Mus musculus: one gene and its partner. The protein of the gene in region 2 binds, or shares a complex with, the protein of the main gene of each other region. Links are inferred from orthologs where the notes say so. Each region holds a gene or a part of one and is shown on either strand. Other genes may lie near its edges.

What was found. Proteins that work in one complex are often made in the same cells at the same time.
Region 1: the proteins of Atp6v1a (region 2) and Atp6v1d are in contact, whole or in part, in a cryo-EM structure (PDB 9B8P), measured with the Rattus norvegicus proteins. The link is inferred for Mus musculus from reciprocal best matches to the Homo sapiens genes ATP6V1A and ATP6V1D. Residues at the interface, in NP_001101788.1 of Rattus norvegicus: Ala366, Met368, Pro369, Ala370, Asp371, Ser372, Asp416, Ser418, Asp436, Lys438, Glu491, Gln494, Leu495, Val496; in NP_955418.1 of Rattus norvegicus: Lys4, Asp5, Arg6, Arg167, Ala171, Val175, Ile176, Arg179, Tyr186, Glu190, Arg194, Glu197, Tyr200, Arg201, Lys204, Ile205, Lys208.

The regions. Positions count from the first base shown.
Region 1 is NC_000078.6:78,858,837-78,862,850, forward strand, and holds the start of Atp6v1d (V-type proton ATPase subunit D), read right to left. Parts: upstream 2,803-4,014; 5' UTR 2,624-2,802; coding exon 2,583-2,623; intron 1-2,582. UniProt on the Homo sapiens protein: Subunit of the V1 complex of vacuolar(H+)-ATPase (V-ATPase), a multisubunit enzyme composed of a peripheral complex (V1) that hydrolyzes ATP and a membrane integral complex (V0) that translocates protons.
Region 2 is NC_000082.6:44,136,440-44,140,549, reverse strand, and holds the start of Atp6v1a (V-type proton ATPase catalytic subunit A), read left to right. Parts: upstream 1-1,290; 5' UTR 1,291-1,588; exon of another isoform or gene 1,589-1,602; intron 1,603-4,110. Other genes in the region: Naa50 (N-alpha-acetyltransferase 50), read right to left, coding at 439-446. UniProt on the Homo sapiens protein: Catalytic subunit of the V1 complex of vacuolar(H+)-ATPase (V-ATPase), a multisubunit enzyme composed of a peripheral complex (V1) that hydrolyzes ATP and a membrane integral complex (V0) that translocates protons.

The DNA of each region.
Region 1 (4,014 bases), on a different chromosome or scaffold from region 2:
TCTGGTGATACATGAAATGAAAGCAACATTCCACAGGACAATACTACCAAGCGAATGAAGGAGAAACCAAAACCAGTACTGTGTGATCTGGACCACGGCAGCTGTTGAACCTGCTCTTTTCTGTTTCAAAGCTGCTTAGCCCTAAAAAAAAAAACAAAAAACAAAAAAAAAAAAAACAAAGAAACAAGAAGTTTGACCTTCAACTAAAACATTGACTTTGTCTCCCGTTGAATCAAAGACATCTGACTATATGACAAAGAACCTGCTGTCAGGCTTTGGGGAAAATATTTACTTCCCACCCCTGACTTCCTCTCAGCTAGCAAGCAGAGTGCTCTCAAATAACAGTTTTCAGGATCACAAACCTATCGTTTCGAGCCGGGCGTGGTGGCGCACGCCTTTAATCCCAGCACTTGGGAGGTGGAGGCAGGCGGATTTCTGAGTTCGAGGCCAGCCTGGTCTACAGAGTGAGTTCCAGGACAGCCAGGGCTATACAGAAAAACCCTGTCTCAAAAAACCCAACCCCCCCCCCAAAAAAAACCTATCATTTCTCCTGTCTGAGCCCAAAGAAGCCCATTTTTCACCTTGTAGTCTTAAATTAAAAGTCCCAAAATAAAAATAAAAACATACCAGCATTACAAATAGTGATTAAATATGGCCAGACATTATTTATAACAGTAAGACCACTAGCAGCAAAGCAAAAAGGTGAGCGCCATTCTGGCTCACACAGGTGTGCCTGGGCACTTTAAAGAGCATGAGTTGCACTCAGGCAGGCTCAGAAAAGGGAAAGTCCACCTGTGGCTGTGTCAACTGTGCCTGCTCTCTGACAGGAACAGAAGTCAGGATTCTAGCCTCCCACAGAGACACAGAGACCCTGTCCTGGTTGATTACCTTACGAAGAAGGGTTCTCTCAGATCCCTGACACATTTATGAGTTAGATAAACTATATATTCAATTAAAAACCCTTTTTCTTTCAAAGAGAGGTCTAGGATCTATCAATCAGATGTCAGCTAAAACCAGTATTTAGTTCTCCTATGGGCTTTGAGTTTTGTTTGTTTGAGGCAGGCATGGTTATTTCTACTTTTAGGTGCTGGGGATTCAACCCAGGGCCTTTTGTATGCCAGGCAAGAGCTCTGCCTCTGAGATATTACTCAGTGGCATTACAGTTGGGGCTAGTGGCTGGGGAGTGGGGAGGAGAACTGTGGTCATCCTAGGATATGTCCTTGTGTTTCCAGAAGCCACCCTGGAATCGGATGTCTCAGTAAAGTTTGGATGGGGCCATTACATGCTGGCTTTGGGATCACCCTAGGGTCGTCCTGATCTTTAGCTGTTTCACGAGCACTGCACTTCCCCACAGCTGGCAGGTTTGTACAGTTAGTATAACTTGCCATTTCAAAGCCATTGGGGAGAAGGTTAAAAGTGTTTTGTTTTGTTTTTAAATAATTAAACCCTTTCATTCACTCAGAGCTACATATACCCTGGCAGAGACAGAAACTCATTCTGTGGTTTAAATGAAACTATTTAAGAGTCCTTGGGTCTATAAGTAAAAAGGCATAGGATAAGGTAAACAATACAGTCTGTCTCTCTCTCTCTCTCTCTCTCACACACACACACACACACACACACACACACACACACACACACGCAAAACCCTAAACAGGCCCCAAAACAGGACCACAGTGAGAGACCTAATTATCAGAATAAAAACTGATTTCCTTCTTCAGGAACAATTGAAGATGAGAGCACAAATACCCTTTTCTTTCCACAAGTTATTATATGTATTTGAGAAAACTTCAAGTTTTCACTTCATCACTTCTCCTAACAAGGATGTTAACCCAAAGCAGAAAGGCGGCCTGTAACTGAGCACATCCCAAGCAAGGGTTCAAGGAACAATTTTCTGTGGACCTTCTATGCATTAAAAAGATGCCTCCTTCATCCAGGAGACAGCCCAAATAAATACCCGCGTGACAGTGTCATGAGTGACACTTGCTAGACGTAAAGAGTGCAGTCATCACAGGGCTATAGGAATACCTCAGAAATGCAGGGATATCTTCCCACAGCAAATAACACTTGACGGGATCCAAGACTGAAACCTACAGCTGCGAGAGGGTGACACATTCAATGTCACTTTGGCTGAGGGGCCTTCTAGCTGCTTCCCTGTCACATAACTTCCCGTCTGGGAGCTTTGGTCAGACCTCAGCGTCTACATCTCAATCCTCAGCAATGATGAGCCCTGGGAGGTAGAGATGGCGCCGACGGCTCAGTTATGTAAACTCCGTGTGTGGCTCAAAGGGTGTGCGGAATGAGTGAGTAAAGGCATCGACCTCCAAAAGCTGCCAGCAGGTGAACCCCCTTTTCCTGTGGACTGGAACCACTTTCTCCGGCCTCTTCTCTCAGAAACAGCAGGGGAGGGGAGCGTTGGAAAGAAACCTCGCTCGGAACTCAGAGGAAACGAAGACCCTGGGGAAAGCTCAAGGAGCGACCCAGAAACCAAGGAACCTTGCTGGTGGCCAAGGGTACGCAGGAATGCGCGCCGGGAAGATGTGCCTGAACACGGTTGTCGCTTGTCCTAGTCTTTAACTTACATTCGCGAAGGGAAGATTTCAATCCGGTCTTTGCCCGACATCCTGACGGTGACTCGGCTCGGGCCCCCCGGCGAGACAATCGGGACCGCAACACCTCCAGAACCGGTTACCCCAGTGCCCGCCTCCACGGGAGTCAGCTGACCGGGTCACTTGACAACTGCGTTGCTAAGAGGCAACCAGGAAACCGGTTCCCACTTCCGGTTCCTGTTGGGCGAGGACTGAGGGAGGGGGAGGAGACGGAATGCCCGGATGTGGAAGCGCGCACAGTCCGGAATTCCGGGTCTCTCCACCGCCCCTCCCTCCGGCGAGTCGCCGGCACCCAGCACGCTCTGAGGGATGGGTCAGGAGAGGATCACGCTCCTCCTCTTCCTCGGCTTTCCGCCATTCGTCACAGCGCCCTCTCTTGGTTGACTAAAACTTAAAGCGATCATCCTGGAGCAAGAAACAGAAACTTACCTCTCCTTTAAACCTAGCAAGTTCCCTCCGCAAAAAAATCTATAAATACCAGGGGCAGTGACTCTTCAGCTCGTCCCTTGGTTCACACCGCCCATATTAGGAGGACCAAGACTCTATGGTTAGTGGCAACGAAGGATCCTTTTCTGTCGGCGCCTGCGCAGTGAGAGGTGGCTCCGCATGCGCGCTGGGTTGGGCGAAGCGCACGCTGAGGAGCTTCGGCGTCCGGGGTTGGTGTTCCGAGTCTCCTCGTTGCCACTAAGCAGCACGGCGTGGGACCCTACTTCGGGATTCACACATCCACTTCAGGTGACCGGCCCCGCAGCTTGCTCTCCCCGAGGATTCGCCTTGGTTTTGTCCAGTGCGGCTAGGCCCCGGGCTACCCCCCCTTTCCCGTTCTTGCGCGGGAAGTGTCTGGACCCCGTCGCCACCGCCCGCTGGTGATTTCCTGCGCCCTCTCGCCAGCCGGTGTCTGCTCCTGCGAGCCAGAAACGTGGCTGGACGGGCGGAGGAACCCCTGAAGGAACGTGGGCCAAGTAGATTTTTACAGCCTCCTTAAAGATGTCTTGTGGTGGGGAGGCCTCTGGAGAACCCTCGACTCCAGTCCCACTCCTAGTTCAAGACGATTGCTTTTACCGGACCGGAGAATTTGGGCTTTTTTTTTTTTTCTTTCTTTTATCCTTCTTTTCAGCCCCAAGATACTGCCAAAACTTTTCTCTCTGTGGAGACTGAACTTTTCGCCAAAGAAACAATAGGATAAACCACCATATTTAAGTTAAAAAAAAGTCCAAAATGGAACTATTAGTGTTGAGGTCGTTAAGTTTTCGCTCTAGCTGTGCATTTCTGTATGAGTGAATTCCTGGAATTTAAAATCAGCTGTTGAAGTTATTTGCCCTGTTTGGGTAACTGCGAAAATAAAACTGGAGTTTTGTAATTATGGACGCTGAAAGCGTAAAACTTTAGAGTTAAGTGTGTACTC
Region 2 (4,110 bases):
TTTATTCCAATTCCTTTTCCCTCCAGAAGGTTCTGCACGGCCCACAAGTCTTAAGAAAACCCGCAACGTGTCAAAGCCCGCGGCCACAGCGCCGTTCCCGGATCTGGAGGAGCACCTTCAGGTGGCTCGGTGGTGCGCTCCCGGGAAGAGGCCCCCGGGCGCCTCATTCCTCCTCCCCGTGATCTCAGGCGGTGCACACACGTGAAACCGTGGACTCGCGCCCTTGCCTCCGTCGGCCCTTCAGCCCGCCAACAGCCGGCCTAGCCTCCGCCCCCCTCCGGGAGCCGCGGGACCGGGGAAGCCCGGCCATGACCCTCCGCCCGGGCTTCGCGCGCGTCTCTTCCCCGCAGCGCTCTCCCTGTCCATCGACCCACGCCCCTCTCCTGGGCCCCGGCCGCCGGGGTCCCCCCCACACCCCCGCCAGCTGCCCTTCCTCACCCTTTCATCTTCCCCGTCTGCTGAGGCCGTCGTTACAGCCGCCGCCAACGCCGTCGTCCTCGTCGCCCGGAGCTCTCCGCCCGCGCCCTGAGCTCAGACCACTCAACCCCACACGCCGGTCTTTTGGCTGAGAAGCCAAGCCAGGCCCTGAGGCTCCGGGAGACGCGGGGAAATCTGCCGCCGCGCTGCCGCCGCCGCCGCTCCTCCACACGTGCACTCGGGACACTCGGCTCCCGCCCGCAGCTGCCGCCAGCCAGACCCGCCGCCGCGCTGTGACCTTTCACCCCGCCCCTCAACGCGCCGGCGCGGCCGCCGCGTCGCGCGCAGGCGCAGTGCTCCGCGCCGCCAGGATTCCCCGCCCCCCGCTCTCCAGGGGCCGGGCCTACGGCCCGCTAGCTCCTCCCACCCTTTGCGACACTCTCTAGGGGATCTGGCTTGGTAGGCTCCGGCGGCAAAATCCGGATCTTTCCACCCTTCTCTCGCTTTCAAGCCAGCAGGATCAGCCTTTCCCGCCCCCCACCCCGATTCCTTTCTAGCCCTCCAGTGACCTTCAAACCCTCTGGCCGACTAATAGGGTTTTGTAAAACGGATTCTTCTCAATGTAAGAAAGCCCATGGGAACTTGCAGTAAATGTGTTTTAAATTCAAAAGGTAGTGATGGGTCCGGATAACTTGGCGATCCTCCAGCAGGCAAACCTCACAGGGTTTTTTTTTTTTTAAATCACGTGATAGGCTTAACGTCTTCCAGCCCAGGATTTTACTGGGGCCTTAGAGGCGGGACTCATGGCCATTTCCGGTCCCTAGAGCGTGACTTAGCGTCACTTCCTTAGCAATGCACTTTAACCCTTGCCATCCTCGTCTTCTGTACTGTAGTTTCTGTAACCCCCGTCATTGTAAAAAAAAAAAGAAAAAGAAAAGAAAAAGAAACTAACGCTTTTCTGAAGTCGCGGAACCATTCACATCCAAGGCGGTCCGCAAAGATTTAAGCCTGCGAGACGCGGCGTGACGGGCGAGGGGAAGCGGGGTGGGGCTTGAGGACACATGACTAGCTAGGACTGGCCCGCCTCCTGCAGCTGAAGACTTCCCCTCTCTCAGTGACAGAGCCTCTGGGTCCCGTCTAGGTACACTTTCTGCATTTCGAGCCCGGGCAGGTGAGGTGCGACAGGTAACTCGTGGCTGGTGGGGACGATTGACAGGGTGAGAGCAGATAGGGTGTGTGAATCGCGGCCTGCGGATGCTTGGGGCTCCCTTTCCGTTGTCCTCCTGCACGGGCGAGGAGCTCATTTCTGCTAGACCCCTGGCCCTTCACCATCACCGTGGTCCATTGACTAGGGATTATGATGCCCACCTTTTCCCTGGGTTGAGAGCGAGTACGGCCATTATGGTTCCCTATTTGGAGCCTTTGGGGCTGATTCAGGTGGTAGGATTGTGTTAGCTATTTCTTGGGGGTCTGCAACAACCGACGGATCCCATTCCCCTAAACTCCTTCCTTGGGAAAGGCCATGGCCCGGGTGATCCGGATGGTAGGAAAACCCCGGGAGGCAGAGGCGTCTCCGGTGAGACAGGCTTGGGAGGGGATGTCACTGAGATGGCCCTCACTGCAGAGTCACACTGAAGGGCTTTCCCCACAAATGTGCGTTCTCAGTGATCCTAAGGGTTTGCCGACATCCTTGCAGAGGTTCAGGGAGTCTTCAGATGAGACTGGAAGGGTAAGAGCGGGCCTTACACCTTTTTTTTCGGAGAGAAGGTGGTTGTACTCTCCTCAGAACAGGGTGTTGGTAATGCGACAGTCTCGGTTGGTTGGGAAGGTGATGAAAGGTGGTGTTGCCTTGTTGGGCTGGAGACCCAGACTAGCTTATGGGAAAGTGACGAGGTTTTCCCGAAGGGGAAGTAATTTTACGGAAACTGATCAGGCTGAAAACATCATTAATCCAAATCCATGTGTGTATAGTTTAAAGACTAGAAGATCGAGTCTAGACATTACTGACTTCATGTTTTCTGCCTGTGGGTCATTCCTTTTTGACATTTCTTTTAAGTCCTACATAATTGCCCTTCCCAGTCAGTTTAAAATTTGTGAAGTAATGCTTGTGCTCTTAATTCGCTTTTGCATTTGTTAAAAAATTCAAGTGACCCTTCTCAGACTTGAGAGTGCATAATATTTTGTGAAAATACAGAAATGGTTTTGCCTAGGGTTACCCAACCCTTTGTACTCCATTTTATGTGCACCGTAGTAGCCAATGTTTAAACCTCAAACAATGTACTTGACTGAAGGAATGTTCTTCAGTTTGGGGCTAAACTCTTTTATTTGTGCTACAAACTTAGAACGTTCCTTGTTTTGAAGCCGAAGGCCTTACAAAATCACAGATTTGACTTTTATAACCCAAATGATACATTTTCTTAGGGGAAATAAGATTTTCAGTTAAATCTTAGTTCTCTGCAATGTAATTGAGGAATCTGTTTTAAACTCTGCTGGGGGCTCGGGGATATGGTTCTTGCTTCCATGTAAGCTTGGTGTACTGGGTCCAACCCTCATACTAGAAAGAAAAAAAAATAGGAAAAAGATGGAATGATTATCTTACATTGATTGGTGCTCCCCCCCCCCCCTTTCCAGATTTTCTTATTTTTGAGAGCTAAAAGCTAAAACCTTAAACTCATAACGATTTAACAAGATAAAAAGACTGGCCTAAGCCAGTCGTAGTGGTGCATGCCTTTAATCCCAGCACTCGGGAGGCAGAGGCAGGCGGATTTCTGAGTTCGAGGCCAGCCTGGTCTACAAAGTGAGTTTCTGGACAGCCAGAGCTATATAGAGAAACCCTGTCTCAAAAAACCAAAACAAACAAACAAACAAAAAACAAAAAAGAAAGACTGGCCTATTTGATACTTTTTACTACAATATTGCCCAAGTGATTTTGCATTGCCCACATTACCGTTTGTGCTTGTGATCCAGACTAGACAATAGGAATTGATCTGTTTATATAACAAGCATAAATATAGATTCTTAAAGAGTTCATTCTTTTCATTGCTAATCATTATTCTGTGGTATGGATGGCACCACAGTTGGTTGAACCATTCACTTGTTGACACAAACCTTTTTGTTTGTGTCTGTGTTCCTGCACTTAGAGGCCAGAGGTGCCTTCCTCTGTTGCTCTCCTCACCTCAACCCCCCTTCTTTTGAGGTAGGTTCTCTCACTGAACCTGGACTCACTGATTCTGGGAGCCTAGCTGTCCATTAAACCCCAGGGATCCTTCTGTCTTTTGCCCTGAGCACCCAGGTTAAAGGGACAGTACTACACTTCTACAGAGCACTGGGTAGCTGAACTCAGATTTTCATACTTGCGAAACATGCAGTTTCACGACTGAGTCATCTCCTCAGCTTGAAATATAATTTTATCCATCGTTTTTCTCTAAAGTGAGGTTCTCTGATCTCTCCGGAGAGAAAAAAATTTGGCTCTGCTTTCACGCCCATGTGACATTCCACCAAATAAACAGAATTCCTAAGTGTTTTAAAAGTCCAGACCAGTTCTGTGCAGGTGCGCCAAACTGGGCTAGAGGAAACCAGTTTGAAAGCACTGAGAATTTGTGGAGGAGAAAGAAGTTCATAAGAAAGAGGCTCAATGAGTCTGCAGTTTTACTTCACAGTTAATTGCTCCATTTTAGGGAACTCAGTAACTTA